3 linked regions of the Arabidopsis thaliana genome follow. The protein of the gene in region 1 purifies or fractionates together with the protein of each later gene. This does not show direct contact. Each region holds a gene or a part of one and is shown on either strand. Other genes may lie near its edges.

The links.
Region 2: the proteins of AT1G12230 (region 1) and ATCS fractionate together in Arabidopsis thaliana (co-fractionation; one large-scale study listed by BioGRID). This does not show direct contact.
Region 3: the proteins of AT1G12230 (region 1) and CSY5 fractionate together in Arabidopsis thaliana (co-fractionation; one large-scale study listed by BioGRID). This does not show direct contact.

Annotation. Positions count from the first base shown.
Region 1 is NC_003070.9:4,146,136-4,151,582, forward strand, and holds AT1G12230 (Aldolase superfamily protein), read left to right. Parts: upstream 1-1,826; 5' UTR 1,827-1,914; coding exon 1,915-1,968; intron 1,969-2,058; coding exon 2,059-2,200; intron 2,201-2,603; coding exon 2,604-2,682; intron 2,683-2,774; coding exon 2,775-2,840; intron 2,841-2,944; coding exon 2,945-3,020; intron 3,021-3,114; coding exon 3,115-3,198; intron 3,199-3,291; coding exon 3,292-3,396; intron 3,397-3,485; coding exon 3,486-3,566; intron 3,567-3,641; coding exon 3,642-3,706; intron 3,707-3,800; coding exon 3,801-3,870; intron 3,871-3,943; coding exon 3,944-4,119; intron 4,120-4,203; coding exon 4,204-4,342; intron 4,343-4,426; coding exon 4,427-4,573; 3' UTR 4,574-4,921; downstream 4,922-5,447. Other genes in the region: RPS5 (Disease resistance protein (CC-NBS-LRR class) family), read left to right, coding at 1-1,545.
Region 2 is NC_003071.7:18,314,508-18,321,337, reverse strand, and holds ATCS (Citrate synthase family protein), read right to left. Parts: upstream 5,061-6,830; 5' UTR 4,946-5,060; intron 4,919-4,945; exon of another isoform or gene 4,756-4,918; intron 4,683-4,755; 5' UTR 4,666-4,682; coding exon 4,615-4,665; intron 4,517-4,614; coding exon 4,451-4,516; intron 4,305-4,450; coding exon 4,263-4,304; intron 4,082-4,262; coding exon 4,016-4,081; intron 3,924-4,015; coding exon 3,858-3,923; intron 3,736-3,857; coding exon 3,622-3,735; intron 3,514-3,621; coding exon 3,450-3,513; intron 3,273-3,449; coding exon 3,190-3,272; intron 3,062-3,189; coding exon 3,012-3,061; intron 2,933-3,011; coding exon 2,855-2,932; intron 2,711-2,854; coding exon 2,582-2,710; intron 2,448-2,581; coding exon 2,405-2,447; intron 2,314-2,404; coding exon 2,227-2,313; intron 2,060-2,226; coding exon 1,958-2,059; intron 1,610-1,957; coding exon 1,502-1,609; intron 1,411-1,501; coding exon 1,360-1,410; intron 1,213-1,359; coding exon 1,139-1,212; intron 1,062-1,138; and 5 more. Other genes in the region: AT2G44360 (ecotropic viral integration site protein), read left to right, coding at 52-159, 244-483; AT2G44340 (VQ motif-containing protein), read right to left, coding at 6,493-6,830.
Region 3 is NC_003074.8:22,191,123-22,196,995, forward strand, and holds CSY5 (citrate synthase 5), read left to right. Parts: upstream 1-1,607; 5' UTR 1,608-1,765; coding exon 1,766-1,816; intron 1,817-1,899; coding exon 1,900-1,953; intron 1,954-2,069; coding exon 2,070-2,111; intron 2,112-2,241; coding exon 2,242-2,307; intron 2,308-2,397; coding exon 2,398-2,463; intron 2,464-2,552; coding exon 2,553-2,666; intron 2,667-2,758; coding exon 2,759-2,822; intron 2,823-2,958; coding exon 2,959-3,041; intron 3,042-3,137; coding exon 3,138-3,190; intron 3,191-3,273; coding exon 3,274-3,351; intron 3,352-3,465; coding exon 3,466-3,594; intron 3,595-3,759; coding exon 3,760-3,802; intron 3,803-3,900; coding exon 3,901-3,987; intron 3,988-4,119; coding exon 4,120-4,221; intron 4,222-4,402; coding exon 4,403-4,510; intron 4,511-4,585; coding exon 4,586-4,636; intron 4,637-4,720; coding exon 4,721-4,794; intron 4,795-4,877; coding exon 4,878-4,929; intron 4,930-5,031; coding exon 5,032-5,124; 3' UTR 5,125-5,325; and 1 more. Other genes in the region: AT3G60090 (VQ motif-containing protein), read left to right, coding at 1-209.

The sequences.
Region 1 (5,447 bases):
GACGTTTTAACATCATCTGCCATAGATTTTTCAGGTATGGAAGATGAAATTCTCCATGTTTTGAAGTATAGCTATGATAATTTAAATGGGGAGCTGATGAAATCCTGCTTCCTCTATTGCTCTCTGTTTCCTGAAGACTATCTTATTGATAAAGAGGGGTTGGTAGACTACTGGATAAGTGAGGGATTCATAAATGAAAAAGAAGGCAGAGAGAGGAATATTAACCAAGGTTATGAGATAATTGGTACCCTTGTCCGTGCATGTTTGTTGTTGGAGGAAGAAAGGAACAAATCAAACGTGAAAATGCATGATGTGGTTCGTGAGATGGCTCTATGGATATCATCCGATCTTGGGAAGCAAAAGGAGAAATGTATTGTGCGAGCTGGTGTTGGGTTACGTGAAGTACCAAAAGTCAAGGATTGGAACACTGTGAGAAAGATTTCTTTGATGAATAATGAGATTGAAGAGATATTTGACAGTCACGAGTGTGCTGCACTTACAACTCTATTTCTCCAAAAGAACGACGTGGTAAAGATCTCGGCTGAATTCTTTCGATGTATGCCTCATCTGGTGGTTTTAGATCTATCAGAGAATCAGAGTCTTAATGAATTACCAGAAGAAATATCAGAGCTGGCCTCTTTGAGATATTTCAACTTGTCATATACATGTATACATCAACTACCCGTTGGTTTATGGACATTGAAAAAGCTAATACATCTGAATCTCGAACACATGAGCAGTCTTGGGAGTATATTAGGGATATCAAATTTGTGGAATTTGAGGACATTGGGACTACGAGATTCCAGACTGTTGCTAGATATGAGTTTAGTGAAGGAGCTGCAGCTCTTAGAACATCTAGAAGTTATAACCCTAGATATATCATCAAGTTTGGTTGCAGAGCCATTGTTATGCTCTCAAAGGTTGGTGGAATGTATAAAAGAGGTAGATTTTAAGTACCTTAAGGAAGAATCAGTGAGAGTATTGACTTTGCCAACCATGGGTAATCTCCGCAAGCTCGGGATAAAAAGATGTGGAATGAGGGAGATAAAGATAGAGAGGACAACTTCATCATCGTCTCGGAACAAAAGTCCCACAACTCCATGCTTCTCAAACCTCTCCAGAGTCTTTATAGCTAAATGCCATGGTCTTAAGGATTTGACGTGGCTTTTGTTTGCTCCTAATCTTACTTTTCTTGAAGTTGGGTTCTCAAAGGAAGTAGAGGATATAATTAGTGAAGAGAAAGCTGAGGAGCATTCAGCTACGATTGTTCCTTTTAGGAAATTGGAGACACTACACCTGTTTGAATTACGCGGGCTCAAGAGAATCTATGCAAAGGCTCTGCATTTTCCGTGTCTGAAAGTTATCCACGTAGAAAAATGTGAAAAGCTGAGAAAGCTTCCATTGGATTCTAAAAGTGGGATCGCGGGTGAAGAACTTGTCATATATTATGGAGAGAGAGAATGGATAGAAAGGGTTGAATGGGAGGACCAAGCAACTCAACTCCGTTTCTTACCTTCATCCAGGTGGCGGTGGAGAGAAACATAATGAACTTCACTTTCTTCTACAAACTTTTGTTGTCATGGTCTAAAGACATTTGCCGGTGTGTAAATCTCTTCCTTGTCTCTTCTTGTTTGCATAACCGTTCTCATCGTTCTTTTGGTTAGTGATCATTGGATTTGTACTTATCTCTTTCTCTAAACGATGAGTGTTTGTTTCGGCTTCATAGAAACATTACACAGAGACTCATGAGAAAATGAATAAAAACTTGCAAGTTCCTAACCATTGTAATAAAATAATAATTAACTGTCTTATCTCGTTGACAGTTTTCGGATAAATTAGAAAAGGCGGGACCCACGTTAATTGGAAGATATCAACGGCTGGATCTGCTTACTCAGATCAACTTCAGCGAAAAAAATGCCACTCTCGTTGCAATCTCCGCCTTGTGCAACTCTCTCTGCTTCAATCCGAGTACTCTCCTCTTCGCTTACTTCTTTCAATCGCATGTATTTGTGCATTGTTTGTTTTTTATCTAATGGATGCGAGCTTTGAACTTCGCAGAAGGGACGATGGAAGACGCTCGCCGCCGGATTCTCCGTTACTCCTCTTCCCGCCGTTAACTTCAGTCTTCGGCGATCGATTCCTCGGATTCTTGCTTCCGCTAGTTCCTCCTCCTCTCCTGCGTCTTCGTCTCTCGAAGCTGGTATTTGTTTATATCTTTGATGATCGTGTTTCTCATTAATTAATAAATACGATTTCTGGAAAGACAAAACAAAAGTATGGGTTTTTGAAAGATTGACTACGATTCAAGCTTTCTTTTTATGTGGGTTTGTTTTTATACTGTCTTGAGTCACTTGTTAGGAAACTATGCTTGACAAAGTTGCTATTTTTGGTTTACCTTTCTTAGTTCAGGACCTTCTGGTTGCTTTAGTTCTTAGCTGAACAGTGTTGATTTATGGTTGAATTTGAAGAAACAAATTGTGTATTTGGTGTTTAACATTGTTCTTGGATGATATCGGTTTTCCTAAAGTTCTCAACTTTATTTCTTCTGGAATGCTTTTAGATGATCATTGAGTTGTTTGATGAAATTGTGTTTTTTTTTTCAGGTGAGAACAATGAGCTAAATGCTGTTTCAGCTTTTAGTGAGATTGTTCCTGATACTGTCGTTTTCGATGACTTTGAGAGGTATGATATATATCTCTACTTCATGAGACTTTAGTTACACTGGTATATCATAAAAATGGAGTCAGACATTCTTAACTTGAGATTGTACTGAGTTTTTCTCTGGATCGAGGATACAAGAAAGAAATTAGCTTAAGATGTAAAAACTCACTCCCTCACAAGTATAACTTCTAACCTTTAGTTATTGTGAAAACCAGATAGTATAACCTTTTGGTTTTCTAATTGTGCTGGATTGATACCTTTGTTGTATTTTACTGATCTGCAGGTTTCCGCCGACTGCAGCTACTGTTAGCTCTGCTCTTCTTCTGGGTATCTGTGGTCTACCTGATACCATTTTCCGCGTAAGCATTTCAAGAGTTTTGATTCTTAGATGATAGTATATGACATCTCTTGTTTTGGGCTCATTTAATTTTGACATTTTTACATCATGATTAGAATGCTGTGGACATGGCTTTGGCGGATTCTTCTTGTGCAGGGCTTGAAACCACAGAATCTCGACTCTCTTGCTTTTTCAATAAGGTTGATCTTCTTATCCCTTATCTGTTTTTCCACTTCCAGATCTTTGCTGCTTAAAAGCTTTTTTTGCCCTTATTACTGATGAGAAAAGTGCAGGCTATTGTCAACGTAGGTGGCGATCTTGTCAAACTCGTTCCAGGTCGAGTTTCTACTGAAGTGGATGCACGTCTTGCTTATGACACAAATGGCATTATCCGCAAGGTAGTTACTACACCATATATATAAGATAATTTGATTATATGTCTCCTGTATCTTCAAATCACTAACTTGTGATGTGATGATGTGTGTAGGTTCATGATCTGCTGAGACTATACAATGAAATCGATGTACCACACGACCGGCTCCTATTCAAAATCCCTGCAACTTGGCAAGTAAGATTATTTTCAGCAAATACCAAAGCTTTACCTTTTACTGGTCTCTTAGTATTGTGCTTATCCCTCTCATAGGGTATTGAAGCTGCAAGATTGTTGGAATCAGAGGGAATCCAAACGCATATGACCTTTGTTTACAGGTACCATAAAACATACCTTTTGACTCTTTTATTTTAGAATTGTCTATCCATCTGATTTGTTTACTTTATAATTTCGTTTTGCATTCATCAACAGCTTTGCACAAGCTGCAGCAGCTTCTCAAGCCGGTGCTTCTGTCATTCAGATTTTCGTCGGTCGCCTCAGGGTAACCATTTTTTAAACAGATGCTGCTAAGTGATTTCAGTGATATGCCAAAGTTAATATCTTAAAATCATTAGGATTGGGCGCGTAATCATTCGGGAGATACCGAGATTGAATCTGCTATTAAATCGGGAGAAGATCCTGGTTTGGCCTTGGTCAAAAGATCATATAACTACATTCACAAGTATGGTTACAAGTCCAAGCTGATGGCTGCTGCTGTCCGGAACAAACAAGACTTGTTCAGTCTTCTCGGGTAAACTCAAACTTCCAAATCATAGCTTCGACCATCAATGGATTCTGATCACATTCTAACTTTCAATGTTCTCTTCAATCTCAGGGTCGATTATGTCATTGCACCATTAAAGGTACTGCAATCTCTTAAAGATTCACCCGCCATTCCCGATGATGAAAAATACTCATTTGTTCGGAAACTTACTCCTGAAACTGCAACACATTACCACTTCACCAACAAAGAGGTTAGTTCTGAAGCTAACCAACACTCATTTGCTTCTGGTTTCACTAAACCAGTGTCTCACCCTGTTTGTTTGATTCTGGTTTAGCTGGTCAAATGGGACCAGCTAAGCTTGGCTTCATCTATGGGTCCTGCATCAGTGGAGCTTTTATCAGCCGGTGTTGAAGGTTATGCGAACCAAGCGAAACGTGTTGAAGAGCTTTTCGGGAAGATTTGGCCACCTCCTAATGTCTAAATACACAGCTTTTCTCTTCATCAATAAGGATCTGTATCAATAAGAGAACTAAGTGTCCATGTTACTTGAACACTACCCTGTTTATCTTCCTGCCCTCTTTATCTTTTTCGTGGCTTGTTGTTCATCATGTCTGAGACTTGGGCTACAAGATAAGAGACTTTAGTTTTAAGACTAAAAGTCTAAAACCAAATCCTTTTCATGTTGTTTCGTCTGAACTTCGGTCTTTTTTTCTCTGTAATTGACTTAGTCGGTTCTCAGATCTCTGAGTCATGATTGTACCGATAAACCAAAATTGAACCGATTGTTTTTGTAAAACCAATCGGGTTCTATTAAAGTTCAAACTAAACTAAAAATTTAACTATGGACTGAAAATAAATAAAAAAATTCTTAGACAAAAAAAAGTTGGACATAGGCCAAACACTGTTTGTTTGACAAATTCTAAGATAAATGATAAAAAGATGAGTTTTTTTAGGGCGAGAAAGACGGTTTAAATCCAAAAAAAAAATTGGGAATTTATGTGTACCAAATGATAAATATCATGAAGACAATGAAGAGGATCAACATAAACTTATCAATCTCAGTCAGATGCATTATCTGATGTCTAGTCACTTCTCTATCCACCTTCTTTAATGTCATTTAGTAATTTTCACACAAGCAGAAACGTACCATGTTATAAATCTTATCTTCTAATGTTTACAAATTCGTACGTCTTACATTTAGTTGTTGACAAAAAAAAAAGATAATTGAAATTTAGTTCAATCATTTTTTTCCTGTGTGATTGCGTTTTTCCTTTGACGACATGTTGTTTGTGATTAATTATTGTGGGTTCATACCAATAATTATGAAATACCTAGATTATTTTTTAAAATATAGC
Region 2 (6,830 bases), on another chromosome or scaffold:
ATTGACAAATACAGATGATTTTGTTGCCTACTGATGATTTTTGTTTCTTAGGTAGAATCATTGACAAATACAGAAGAGGTTGAGCTACGTTCTAAGATTGAAGCTCTTGGTTTAGAAGTCACTAAAGTGCCATCAAAGTCTGCTCAACACCTCAATGAGGTCTGTATCCTGTGTTCACTCATATATCTGGTACACATTGTAATGTAAATCTGAGGCTTTGTGTGTGATTGTTTGTGTTTTCAGGTGGAGATAGCTAAGGAATTGGACAAGTTATCAGCAAAGTTAGATGATGTGGATGAGATGATATCATCAGCTATAGCTTCTGATCCACAGGTTCAGACGCTTCTTAGCGGCACAGCTGATGTTTGGATGCCGGTTATCACTGCCGGCGCCGAAGAGAGACTCAACTTCACAGCCTCTCTTGCTGATGATGATGACCTTTCTAACAAGGAGACTACTACCGACAATACCAGCAGCTCTTAATCCCATTTTCTTTTTGATAAACTCATGTCGAAGTTTTCTATTTTGCAGTCTTGTTTCTTTTATGTATATCAAAACCAAGATAAGCTTTAATTCATGAGTGATATTGATGTTTGATTTTTACGCAAACTGAATACAACTGTTTATTTATTATCACGAGTTTCCCGGAAATGCAAATTTGCACCAAGCATGTGTTTCTCAGGAACAATTTCTACATGAACAAATGTTTCTTCTGTCAATAGAAGGTAAAAACAAAAAAAGCTATCCAGTGTGGAAGAGAATGACTTTTGTTGAAACACGAGAGAGTGCGACAACTCAGGACTCGGTGGTGACTTAAGCAGATGAAGCTTTCTTACAATGGGCTTCAAGCCAGTCCATGGTAACACTCTTTGGCCTCTCAAGTGCAAGTCCAAGAGCTCGGTCCCATATAAGCTGTGAATTAAACACAAATGAGAATGGAGAGCATATGAGTTCTGTTTTAAATGTTATGTAGTAACAAAGGCGTAATGTGTAAATATATATATGTTACCTGAGAGCAGATGCCAAGACTCCTTGAAACACCAAAGAGCACGGTGTAGTACCTATAAAACGCACAGATATTATATTTGAGTGCTATCCTAAGGCTCAATGATACTTGAAGGAGGTGTCTACTTCTTACCTTGCTTCGGTTAGACCATAGTGGTTCAGCAAGACCCCACTGTGAGCATCAACATTTGGCCACGGGTTCTTCACCTGTAACAAGCCATCATCGGATTCGCAAGTAAATAAAAAATTGATTCGCAAGAGATTCATAAGCCCCTAGCATGTAGGTAAGGTGTTGTGGAGTTGTTGGTGGAATATTGAAGGATCACCATGGTAAACGAAGGATAGAGATACTACCTTTCCAAGCTCAGTGAGAACAGGAGGCACAACTTCATAAAGCTTTGACACCTACAGAGTTGGAAGGATTTTGTTAGCTACTGAACATTGATAGAATTTTGAGAACCGAACAGAAAAGAGAAAAGAGAAAGAAAAAAAGTACCAGCTGGAAAAGAGGGTCGTCAGGTAGATGCTTCAAGGCAAATTCTCTTTGGCATACATATCTTGGATCAGTATTGCGCAGAACACCGTGACCATATCCCGGAATAACCTAGAGACAAAACAAGACTCGTCAATAGATCATCATTAGACTATCCTTGTAACATTACATCCACAAGGTAAACTAGGATAGGGAAAAACAGGATCCAAAGCTCTTATGGCAGTATTACTTACTAGGAGCAGTTAGAGCAACTGACCAAACTATGAGGTCGTAAATAAGAGGACCCATAACAGTATCACACAATAAATTGAAATATTAGCCTATTATGATGACTAGTAGACAAGATGTTAATTCATTTTCGCATGCTCCATCAGTCTTGTTGGCTGGCTTCAAAAGTGGGATTCAGGTACAAGACCAGAAAGTAAAGAATGTCAAGGCAGAGGAATTTCCTGTTTTTACCTTGCCACTGTTTAATGTTTTCCAAACATATTCTTTCAACTGTTCTTTTGATATATCTTCTCCACATTCCTCTACGACTGATTTGATCCAAAGCAAAACTTCCTGTTGAAACAATAATAAAAAAAGACTAAGAATTTGTTTTCTCCAATTTATGGTTGTATCATCAAACTATCACAACCTACCTAGATAAAATACAAAAAGCCACTTACGAAGCTCTATTGTAGATTGAAGATTTAAGACTTATTCAAGATATAGACAAGGGAGGATACCTGATTAGCCAAACCATGGAGTGGCCCAGCTAAACCATTTAATGCAGCTGCAAATGACAGATATGGGTCTGAAAGTGCACTACCAACCTACATGAACAAGAATTTTTAGCAAAAGAACCATTAGAAACTTCAGGTAGGTCAATCCTTTAAAATTGACACATGGAGAGTATATACATACCAGGTGACCAGTGTGAGCACTAACATTTCCACCTTCATGATCACTAGAGCAAAAAATAGTAGAAAAGCAAAATGTTATACAAAGGTCTATTTAAAGTCTTAAAAAGAACAAACAAATTTACAAGATAATTAAGCTTATTTAAGGAGACATGCATGGGTGACGAAAATTAATACAGACCTGTGGATGGTGATGTAAAGCCTCATGAGCTCTTTCACCTTTTCATCATCAAATCCCAACATGTGGGAAAAATTTGCACCATAATCCAAAGATTTATCTGAGGGAATGGAATCACCATTCTTATACATCCTGCAATGATGCATGGAAAAGGTCAACAGTCAATACAAAGCAAAAACAAGAGATGGCAAATTTTCCAATAAAAAAAAAATCATTGCCGAAAATCCAGAAGCTACAAGAAACATGAAAAAGAGTACAAAAAGAGTCTTCACTAACCTTCGATAAACATATGCAGCTACAACAGGAACACGAGCAATCAGGTTGAGGCAATCCTCATATGTTGGCTCCCAGAACCTGGAAGAAAAAATCTTTGTTATGATGCCAGCTAATATGAAACGCTATCATGAACTAAATCAGAACCCCAAAAGCATACTTTGACTTATGAATTCCATTCTCATATGCCTTTTGAAACTCACTTTGCACCTGGATATTAGGTAAAGAAAATTATCATTCTGCTGAAAATTGTTTACTTATAGCCAAAAAAAACAATAAGTTTCCAACGCTTATCACAAGAAGAACAGAAACAACAATACGAGTTTAGAGAACCACACCTGGAGGGCCATAACACCGCTAGCAAATTGAGTCATTGGATGAGCTGTGGAAGGCAGAGCATCGATGGCATTGTACACATAATCTGTATAAAAATTGGATACAAGTTAAGAATGAATGAAAGTATAACACAAAACCCACAAATTTATTTCATTTCTGTTAAGCAATTTCTTGTAAGCATTGATGTCAAACAAGTTTGAATGAGCCAATAAACAGACTCCTTTATTTGCAACAGCCAGAGCGAAAAAGGTAATATCCAAACCTGGCACAGCAGCACGGTTCGCCAAGTCTTTCGACAGTGCTTCAACTTGCTCTTTGCTAGGTACCTATACGAAAAAGGGTAAAAAAGGATATCATAAGATAATCTATTGAGGAAAACTAATCGACTGGACATATCCAGAACCAACTTATAATAATGTACAGAAGAGCCACACCTTTCCAGTTAAGAGAAGCCACAAAAGACCCTCCGGTAATGGTTCAGCTCCAGACTGGGCAGTAGGTAATACTTTCTGGCACTCAGGAATCGACAATCCCCTAAAGCGAATACCCTGAAATAATGATAAGATAATTGCATCAACAGCCTTAGAACAGGAAGGAGGAGCATTTGATATATTCTATATCTAGGATCTAACCAAGCTATTGTAACTATATACAGAGAGTTATACAGTACCTCTTCCGGGTCAAGCAATGAGGTTTCCCAAAGCAATCCAGTCATCCCTCTCATTCCACCAATAACCTTTATTTCAAAGGGGATTATGATGAGTTATGCAATGGAAGGTGAAAATCATATAAACAAACCAAAAACGTGAAAATCATGATTGTTTCTACCATATCAACAGTGATGTTTCCCAGTTGGACCTTCCCATGTTCTGACTTCAGTTTCTTCAGACGGTCCTGAAATTGGAAAATTCTTGTGAGAAAAGAGGAAACTAGAAAAGCAAAGAGATTCACTACAACTAGCCTGCCTTCTTAACTTAACAATCTCAGCTAACATAACAAATAATACACACATTCAATGAAAAAAAAAAGTCAACAACACAAATTTTCATTTAAAGCAAACAGAGTCTAATCTAACCTGCTGTTCCGGAATTAACTCTTGCAGCTGCGACTTCAGGTCCTGCATTGCCACCATTTAAACAAAATGAACAAAGACCCCACAAGCAGCAGATCCCAAACCAATATTAAACTTACATATGATCATGATCATGAAAACTACATGATCACGATCACACACGAAAGTACGAAGCAACGGAGATGATTTACCAGGTCGGTAGAGCTCTGCATCTGAATCCATCTGACAGAATTGCTGAGTGAAGATTGTTGGCCCTGCTTACATAGATTCGATCACCAATCAATCGATTAGCATGAACCAGCGAGATCAAACGAGAACAAACACAAAACTGGAAACAAAATTTTCAAATACTTACGACGCGAGACCTCAGCCTAGTAAAGGCCGATACGCTGCGGAAAAACACCATTCTCCAAAACTCAAAACCTGTGACAGACAGTATCCACCCAATTCTCAAAACAAATCGATCCGTGAAAAAACTCAAGCAATCAACACTCACCAAAATCAGAAACAAACAAAAAAAGTTTTATCGCCGAATCAAATAATTCAACAAAACTCAGAGATTCGATCAGCGGAATTCACCGGCGAATTCAGATTCCAGAAGAAGAGAAAAACAGGACTAGATTCTCCGAAAATTATGGAAGACCAAAAGGAAATGAGAAACACTATGAAGAAGCGAAGAAACATACCAGAGATTCGAGAGCTTCACGGAGATCGAGAAAAAAAAAAGCGATTGTTGAAAAAAATACTAAAAGCTGCGTCTGCGTGTGATGTACAAAATCAATCGGCGAAAGGTGAGCAAATGACATTTGTATATAGCTGGAGCAGGTTTATTACTAAATTCCAATTTTGACCTTCGAGTACTTTGAGAAGGCAAACCAAACTAAACCGGTATTGGAGAAAATAACCTTTAGGCGTATTATTCCGGTTTTATGAATCTCAAAAACAATTTCGGTGTACCGGTGTGGTTATTTTCGGCAATTGTTGATAATCATCATTTATTTCCTTTGCCTTATTTACGGTATTGTTGATAATCATCATTTATTTTTGGTTTAAGAAATCATACTAATATTTATGTGAGCTTTTCAAGCAGCCGGAACGTTTCCAAATCTAGAAAAGTCAGGTTTGAAATTGTCCTTTACAATGTTTTCATCCAATATTATGCAACCAAAACCGATTTAGACTAAAACAAATAATCCCAATGCCTGAAAAAGTAGACTAATTAATAAGTATAACATGTGCAGAACCTTACAAAATAAGATAAAATAAATGTTGACGTTCGAGAACTTTGAGAAGGTAAACCAAACTAAACCAAAACACAGAAGCAAGGGAGTAAACCGTAATCATATACCTTTTCGTTCTTTTGGAAACCAGACCGAATAATTTGGCTTTATATGAAAAGGTCAACGGACACTAAAATCTCAAAACAATTTTGGTGTACCGTTACGGCTATATTCGGTTCGGATCAATTTTCTTTGCATTTTGTTGATAGGTTATATCATTTTGTTTTACTTTATTTTGATAAAAGGGTTAATATTACTCACTGTTGAAAATGATATATTATACACGTACATCAAATATGAAAACACGTTATTTATTTTAGTTGAAGTACTACATGTATAATAAATATCATTTTCAACATTTGTAACAAAAGATTAGTAAACAATAATAATAAAAAAAATAATTTAGCTTGAGCCAGAATATTCTTGTTAACTTACAGTTTAATTTAATTAGTGTAACTGTACTTTAACCGAATAACCGTTATGTAAGTATCGATATTCAATATACACAATCAATCAGAGTATCTATATCGAAAACAAGTCGATCCTTGTTCTAATTCCATACAAACTTTTTCCCCAAAATTAAAGTACAGCAATCATCACATTTATCTGCACACCAAAGAATTAATACACATCCAATAATAGCACATCAATGAAGTTACATAATAAAACTAGGGCTTTTTTGACCGACCACATCTTAATTAGATACAGCCACTTCTCCTAGAAGGGCTGCACGTAGATTAAACTCTCTTCATCACAACTCTCAACCTTGGCAAAGTCAGTCCCGCCAAAAGTTTATGTCTCTCATCATACCCATTTGTTATATCTATATACAACTTCTATGCCTTTTTTCTCCCACAAAATATGACCTTATCGTTGCGATTAGATCTCATCTCACCAAATGCGATTTGCAGAATCAATAAGATTGAAAACCCTAGAAATTAATCTGTTATTAATTAAGACGAATTATGAGCCTTTGTATCGAAGTTGGTGTTGTTGTTGTTGTTGTTGTTGTTGTTGTTGTTGTTGTTGTTGTTGTTGTTGAAGATGAAACCTTCGACTTGTGAAGAAGAAGAGGATCTCATGGGAAACGAAGAGAAGTAATCTTCTCCGACATCTTGAATTAAACCTTCTAGATCAAAGTACGTGTTTGTGTTCGAAGTACTCTGATCACCTGATCCCCACTCTTCTTTCACCTGGTGGTTTCCTCCGTTTGCTAGTAAACCGGTGAAACCCGAAAGCCTGTTGACCGGCTGATGATCATCGCAAACCGGTTCTTGGGGAGTCGTAATTC
Region 3 (5,873 bases), on another chromosome or scaffold:
ATTTTCCTGCGCCACCGGGTTTGCCTCAAGATTCCGGCCAAGAACATACGGCTGAACTGGACAACAGAATAATAGGGAGCCACGTGGTGAAGGAAGAATGGGGATCAAGTTCAAACACAAATACTTACTTTGATTTTGACGGTTTGATCGATCTTGATGAAGACGACAACATATTCTCAAGTCGATGGTTTGATCTTCAACAACAATAATTAGTTTGGTCACACCTTACCCTAATATGTAGGGTTTCTACTAATCGTAAGTCCTGTTGGTTTTGATGATGATTTGATCATTTATTCGATATGGAGCATAACAAGACATGGGTCAAGACAAGACCAAGGTTGAGACGATGATCATCTATATAGGTAGGAACATACATAACTTGTATATATGTACAAATGTTTGGATTTTTTGGGCTTGGGTGCCCTTTGATTTAATTTGTTAGACTGACTTAATTTACCAAGAAAGAGTGTAGTGATGAGTTTGTAGACTGATTTTGCCAAGAAAAAGTAAGTTTGTGTTTTGATCTCCGATCATGTGAAAACTCTACTTAAAAATGGTGTAACGTTGTACTCACGCGTGCGTGTGCAAGTTTTATATATAGAAAAGCGAGAATGATATTGTGATTGAATTTTTTAGATTGTTCATTTTTTTTCGTCAAATTATTTTGTTTGTTAATTCATATATAAGTCATGTTACTTACAACAAATTGTTTGATAAAACAAAAATGAATTCCATTAAACTGAATTAACGAAATACTATAATGATAAATGATTCTTACATGACTCTAAAAGAGTTTCGATTTGAATATATAAATGAATAAAGTTCTGTTTTATTGGCGATGTTCTTGATATATACCTTCAAAACTTTATGGCTAAATTACATTTTAACTTCTCAAAACGTTAGATTATGAAAGGTGGACTCACATTTCATAAACATTAAAATGATATGGTAATATGATTATAATGAGTTGTAATGGATATATGTCATATTTTTCCAATCTCATTCATTGAAATATCAGTTTATTTTTTGGATGACATAACGATCAATAGTGTCATATAATATGATATCCAATGTTTTAATATTAACTAGCTATAGCTATATCCATCATTGTTAATAGTTGTGTTACATCATTAAATAGTATTTCAAAAGAATATAAAAATTTCTGATAACTAATGGAGAATGAAGAATATCAAACCGCCCATTCGACCAAGAAATTATAATAACGAAGTTTATAACTTTTTTTTTCAATTGTGAAATGTCATTTTTACTTTATTTATTTCCAACAAAATAAAATTATGTTTTATCTAAACCCTTGGACTTTACCAAGAAGCTACTTTTTTATTTAGCAACAGCAAAAGCTACATACCATTTGTTCTTTATTTATTAATGACCGTTTTTTTAGGCATTAGAATCGTTACGGCTGCTTCGAATCTTGCGTCTCACGGACCGACGGAACTAACCAATCTCAACCGAACCCGAACATAACCTGTTCGTTTGGTTTTCTAAATGGTAATCAATTGGTTCATTATACCGGTTTGGTAAGAAGAATCCGTGTGTTTGGTTTACATATGTTGTAATTTGACGCTTGTTCATCACGTTGCAGATATATCTCAACATCTCTCAATTTTTCTCTCTACGTTGAAGAAACTTTCGAATTTCCCGTTAGTTCTTCTCCACGCTTTCTCTTTCCCTTTATCTCTTATCTGGTTAAGCCAATCTTGATTGTTTGGATTCGTAACCGATCAGTGTTGTGAGGTTTGAAAGAATGGTGTTTTTTCGCAGCGTATCAGCCATTTCAAGACTACGGTCTCGAGCAGTGAGTAGATTTAGCTTTCATCCTTTTTGTGTTTTGTTTGATGTGATACAATTTGATGATCAGATCTAATATAAGAAGCACAGGTGCAACAATCCTCACTTAGTAACTCCGTCAGATGGCTCCACTCTTCTGAATTGGTACTTTCTTAGGTTTTCATGTTCTCGTGATCATGCGGTTCAGTTTGAGAACCAAAAATTTGGAATTTTACCTTCTAGGTTTTGTGTTGATGTTGCTTAAAATGATGGTAATGCAGGACTTGAAGTCGCAGATGCAAGAGATCATTCCAGAACAACAGGTTTAGTTTCTACTTCGTTGTGATTGAGATTGTTTCTAATTTTAGGGCAGATTTCATGTAGAGATCAAGCTCTTCTCTCTGTTTTAGTTGATGTCATTTCTCATACACAAACACAACTTTCAACTTTCAGGACCGTTTGAAGAAACTGAAATCAGAACAAGGAAAGGTTCCAGTGGGGAACATCACCGTTGATATGGTACGGATTCTAATGATATTTGTGATTACACAAAGGCTTTATCTTTTAAACATACTCGTATATATAGTTTTACATGTGGTATTTGTGAAGGTACTTGGTGGAATGAGAGGGATGACTGGATTACTCTGGGAAACCTCATTGCTTGATGCAGATGAGGTATGGTTATAATTTTGATCACATAGATAATTTTCAGGTCAGATCTTGAATTAGAATTATATAACATATGATATTATCTTTTGTATCAGGGAATACGGTTTAGAGGCATGTCGATTCCTGAATGTCAGAAAATATTACCTTCAGCTGAGTCTGGAGAAGAGCCCTTGCCTGAGAGTCTTCTGTGGCTTCTATTAACTGGAAAGGTGTGATAATCTTAAAACATTTTATACATACAATAAGTTTCAACTTTATATATGAATGATCTAAAGTATAGTTTTCCCTCCTTTCGGTATAGGTGCCAACTAAAGAGCAAGCTAATGCTTTGTCAACAGAGTTGGCTCATCGTGCGGCTGTGCCAGGTTTGTAGTTCACCTCTAGGCTCTGTTTGTTTATGACCTCAGTTTCATGACTCATCAAAACTTAGCAAAATACAAGCTGATGATAATTATAAACTGGATATTATGATGTTGCAAATATAACAACTCTCCATTGCAGATTATATATACAAAGCTATAGATGCTTTGCCTTCAACAGCTCATCCAATGACTCAATTTGCTAGTGGTGTTATGGCCCTTCAGGTGGATTGCTCTGTTATGTACTATTTTTTTTTTCTATGCATTCTCTTAGAATTTGTTTATTTTCAGGAGCATCTTATCTTGTTGATTGTTATTCAGGTTCAAAGTGAGTTTCAAAAGGCGTATGAGCAGGGTGATATTTCTAAGTCAAAGTATAAACTTTCAATAGTTCTATACTTTGTTTCTTGATTGGCTTATAGTAGTAGGCATCATAGAAACTGAGGTTTCTTGTCAGGTACTGGGAACCAACCTTCGAAGATGCCCTAAACTTGATTGCTCGTGTTCCTGTTGTAGCTTCATACGTTTATCGGAGGTTAAATTTTAGGATCTTTTCCAATGCTTTTAGCTTCCTGGACTAGTTAATTTTCTTAGATTTTCCTTTCTTCAGAGTGTTATTTTTCAATGTCCATTCTAATTCACATTGCAGGATGTACAAGGATGGTAGCATCATTCCATTAGATGATTCTTTGGATTATGGTGCAAATTTTTCACACATGCTGGGATTTGATAGTCCTCAGATGAAAGAGCTCATGAGGCTTTATGTCACTATCCACAGGTTAGTCCTGGTTCTCTTCGTTTCAACATGTCTCATTAATTAGAATACATAAGCTAAAGTTTTCTTGTATATAATGATGATCTTCCTTTATTTTACCAACTCTTACCAAATTTCTATAGCATGATCAAGGTTTTTTTTTCCCTTGTCTACTGGTTTCTGTTTTAGTGATCATGAAGGTGGAAATGTTAGTGCTCACGCTGGTCACCTGGTATGTATTTGCCACATGATCTTGATGCATGATAATGTTTTGAACTTATAGACATTTCTGATGGTTCTGTTTTTGGCTAATGATGTTTCTTCACTTAGGTTGGGAGTGCACTTTCAGATCCATATCTTTCATTTGCTGCTGCATTGAATGGTTTAGCTGGGCCACTCCATGGTTTGGCTAATCAGGTATTTATATCCTTAATGAGTCTTATATTGTTCGAATCTACAAGTGTATATAACTTGAACTCTAAGATTGACTCTTAATTATAAGCTTAAACTTGGAATCTTACTCTGTTTTTTTTCGTTGTCTTGTTGTAGGAAGTTTTGCTGTGGATCAAATTAGTTGTTGAGGAATGTGGAGAAAGTATATCAAAGGAACAGCTAAAAGATTATGTCTGGAAAACGTTAAACAGTGGCAAGGTTGACAAAATTATGCTCTGCTTTGCCTTTTGAAACTATCCATATGTATTGCATGCTAATCATGACAGGCCATAACTTGAATTATTGTATAAATAATGAATAAAAGCTTCGGATTATGTTTTGATTATGGGGTTTGCCTGTGAATGTTGTCAGGAAACTTAAATAAACATTTGTCTTGCAGGTTGTTCCAGGATATGGCCATGGTGTTTTGCGTAAAACGGATCCAAGATATATATGCCAAAGAGAGTTTGCCTTGAAGCATCTACCTGATGATCCTCTTTTTCAGCTGGTAACTTTTTTTCCCCCTCAAATCTTTGGTCATGCTTTAAAATTTTACTGGCTCACAAATTATGCAAGTCTATAGGTCTCAAAACTTTATGAAGTGGTGCCTCCTATTCTAACCGAGCTGGGAAAGGTACTACTTATACTCATTCATTTCATGTGCTACCAGATTTTCTGATTTTCTCTGGTTTTATGAATCTTGAAATTGCTGTATCAGGTCAAGAACCCGTGGCCTAACGTTGATGCTCATAGCGGAGTGCTTCTGAACTACTATGGTCTAACCGAAGCAAGGTAGGAACTACTTGTGTATCGAGGCTTTGACCTTGTTTTGCTGAATCTTGGTTATTATAGAGTGACATTCCTTTCAAATATAGATACTACACGGTGCTTTTTGGCGTCTCAAGAAGTCTTGGAATCTGCTCGCAGGTACATACATACATTCATGCCATCGACAATTCGATTTTAGTACGTATCGCCATATCCTTCACAATAAAGTCAGACTAATCTTTTATTCCTTTTCTGTTTCAGCTGATATGGGACAGGGCACTTGGACTGCCACTTGAGAGACCAAAGAGTGTAAACATGGACTGGCTCGATAACTTCACGCGCTTGAACCGCTAAGTTAATCCCTGACTGATGTTGGTCAAGGTTCTCTCTTTTATCACTTCAGCCTTCTCTTCCATTTGATTGGGTAGCTTTTAGAGATAAAAAAAAAACGATTTTTCGTCGAAATTTTGTTCTACAGAGTTTTCATTTTGGTTCTTCTGCAAAAACAATAAAGTCAAACAAGTAAAGAAACAGTCTTTCTCAGATTGAGACACCATATTATTGTTCCTCAACTTTGATAGACAAATGATGACCATTGATATGTATTGATTAGTCTTTGGTGAATTATCGCATAATAAACAATACTCATGCAACCAGTCCCGCTCAAACAGAGTGTTTGAAGTGAACAGAAGCAGAGTCAAGAAATTCAAAGCCTCGGGATCAAACAGAAGCTTCCTCCTATCTTAAGAAGCTCCCTACGAAGCTTTATGATGATTCTACAAAACACATTTGCTATCTTCAGTGAACAGTAAGATGCAACGTGTTCTCTTCTAAACCTTCAGATATTTGGCTAAGTATAAGACTCTTCGTAATCACAAAAAGCCAGAAATGCGAAATTGATTTTGAGTCTTCTTCCTCACAAGTTTTCTCTAACTTTCAGAGGAGTCGCTGGATCCTGTTACCGAGAATTATTAGAAACCGAGAGCAGAGGTTTCTAGCTAGGACAGGAAATATATTATTAGAACATATCCTAGTCTTCCTTGTCATGGCCAGTCCAGTGGTGCAAGAGAAACATACAATTCCAACTCAAGTATGTGATGGAC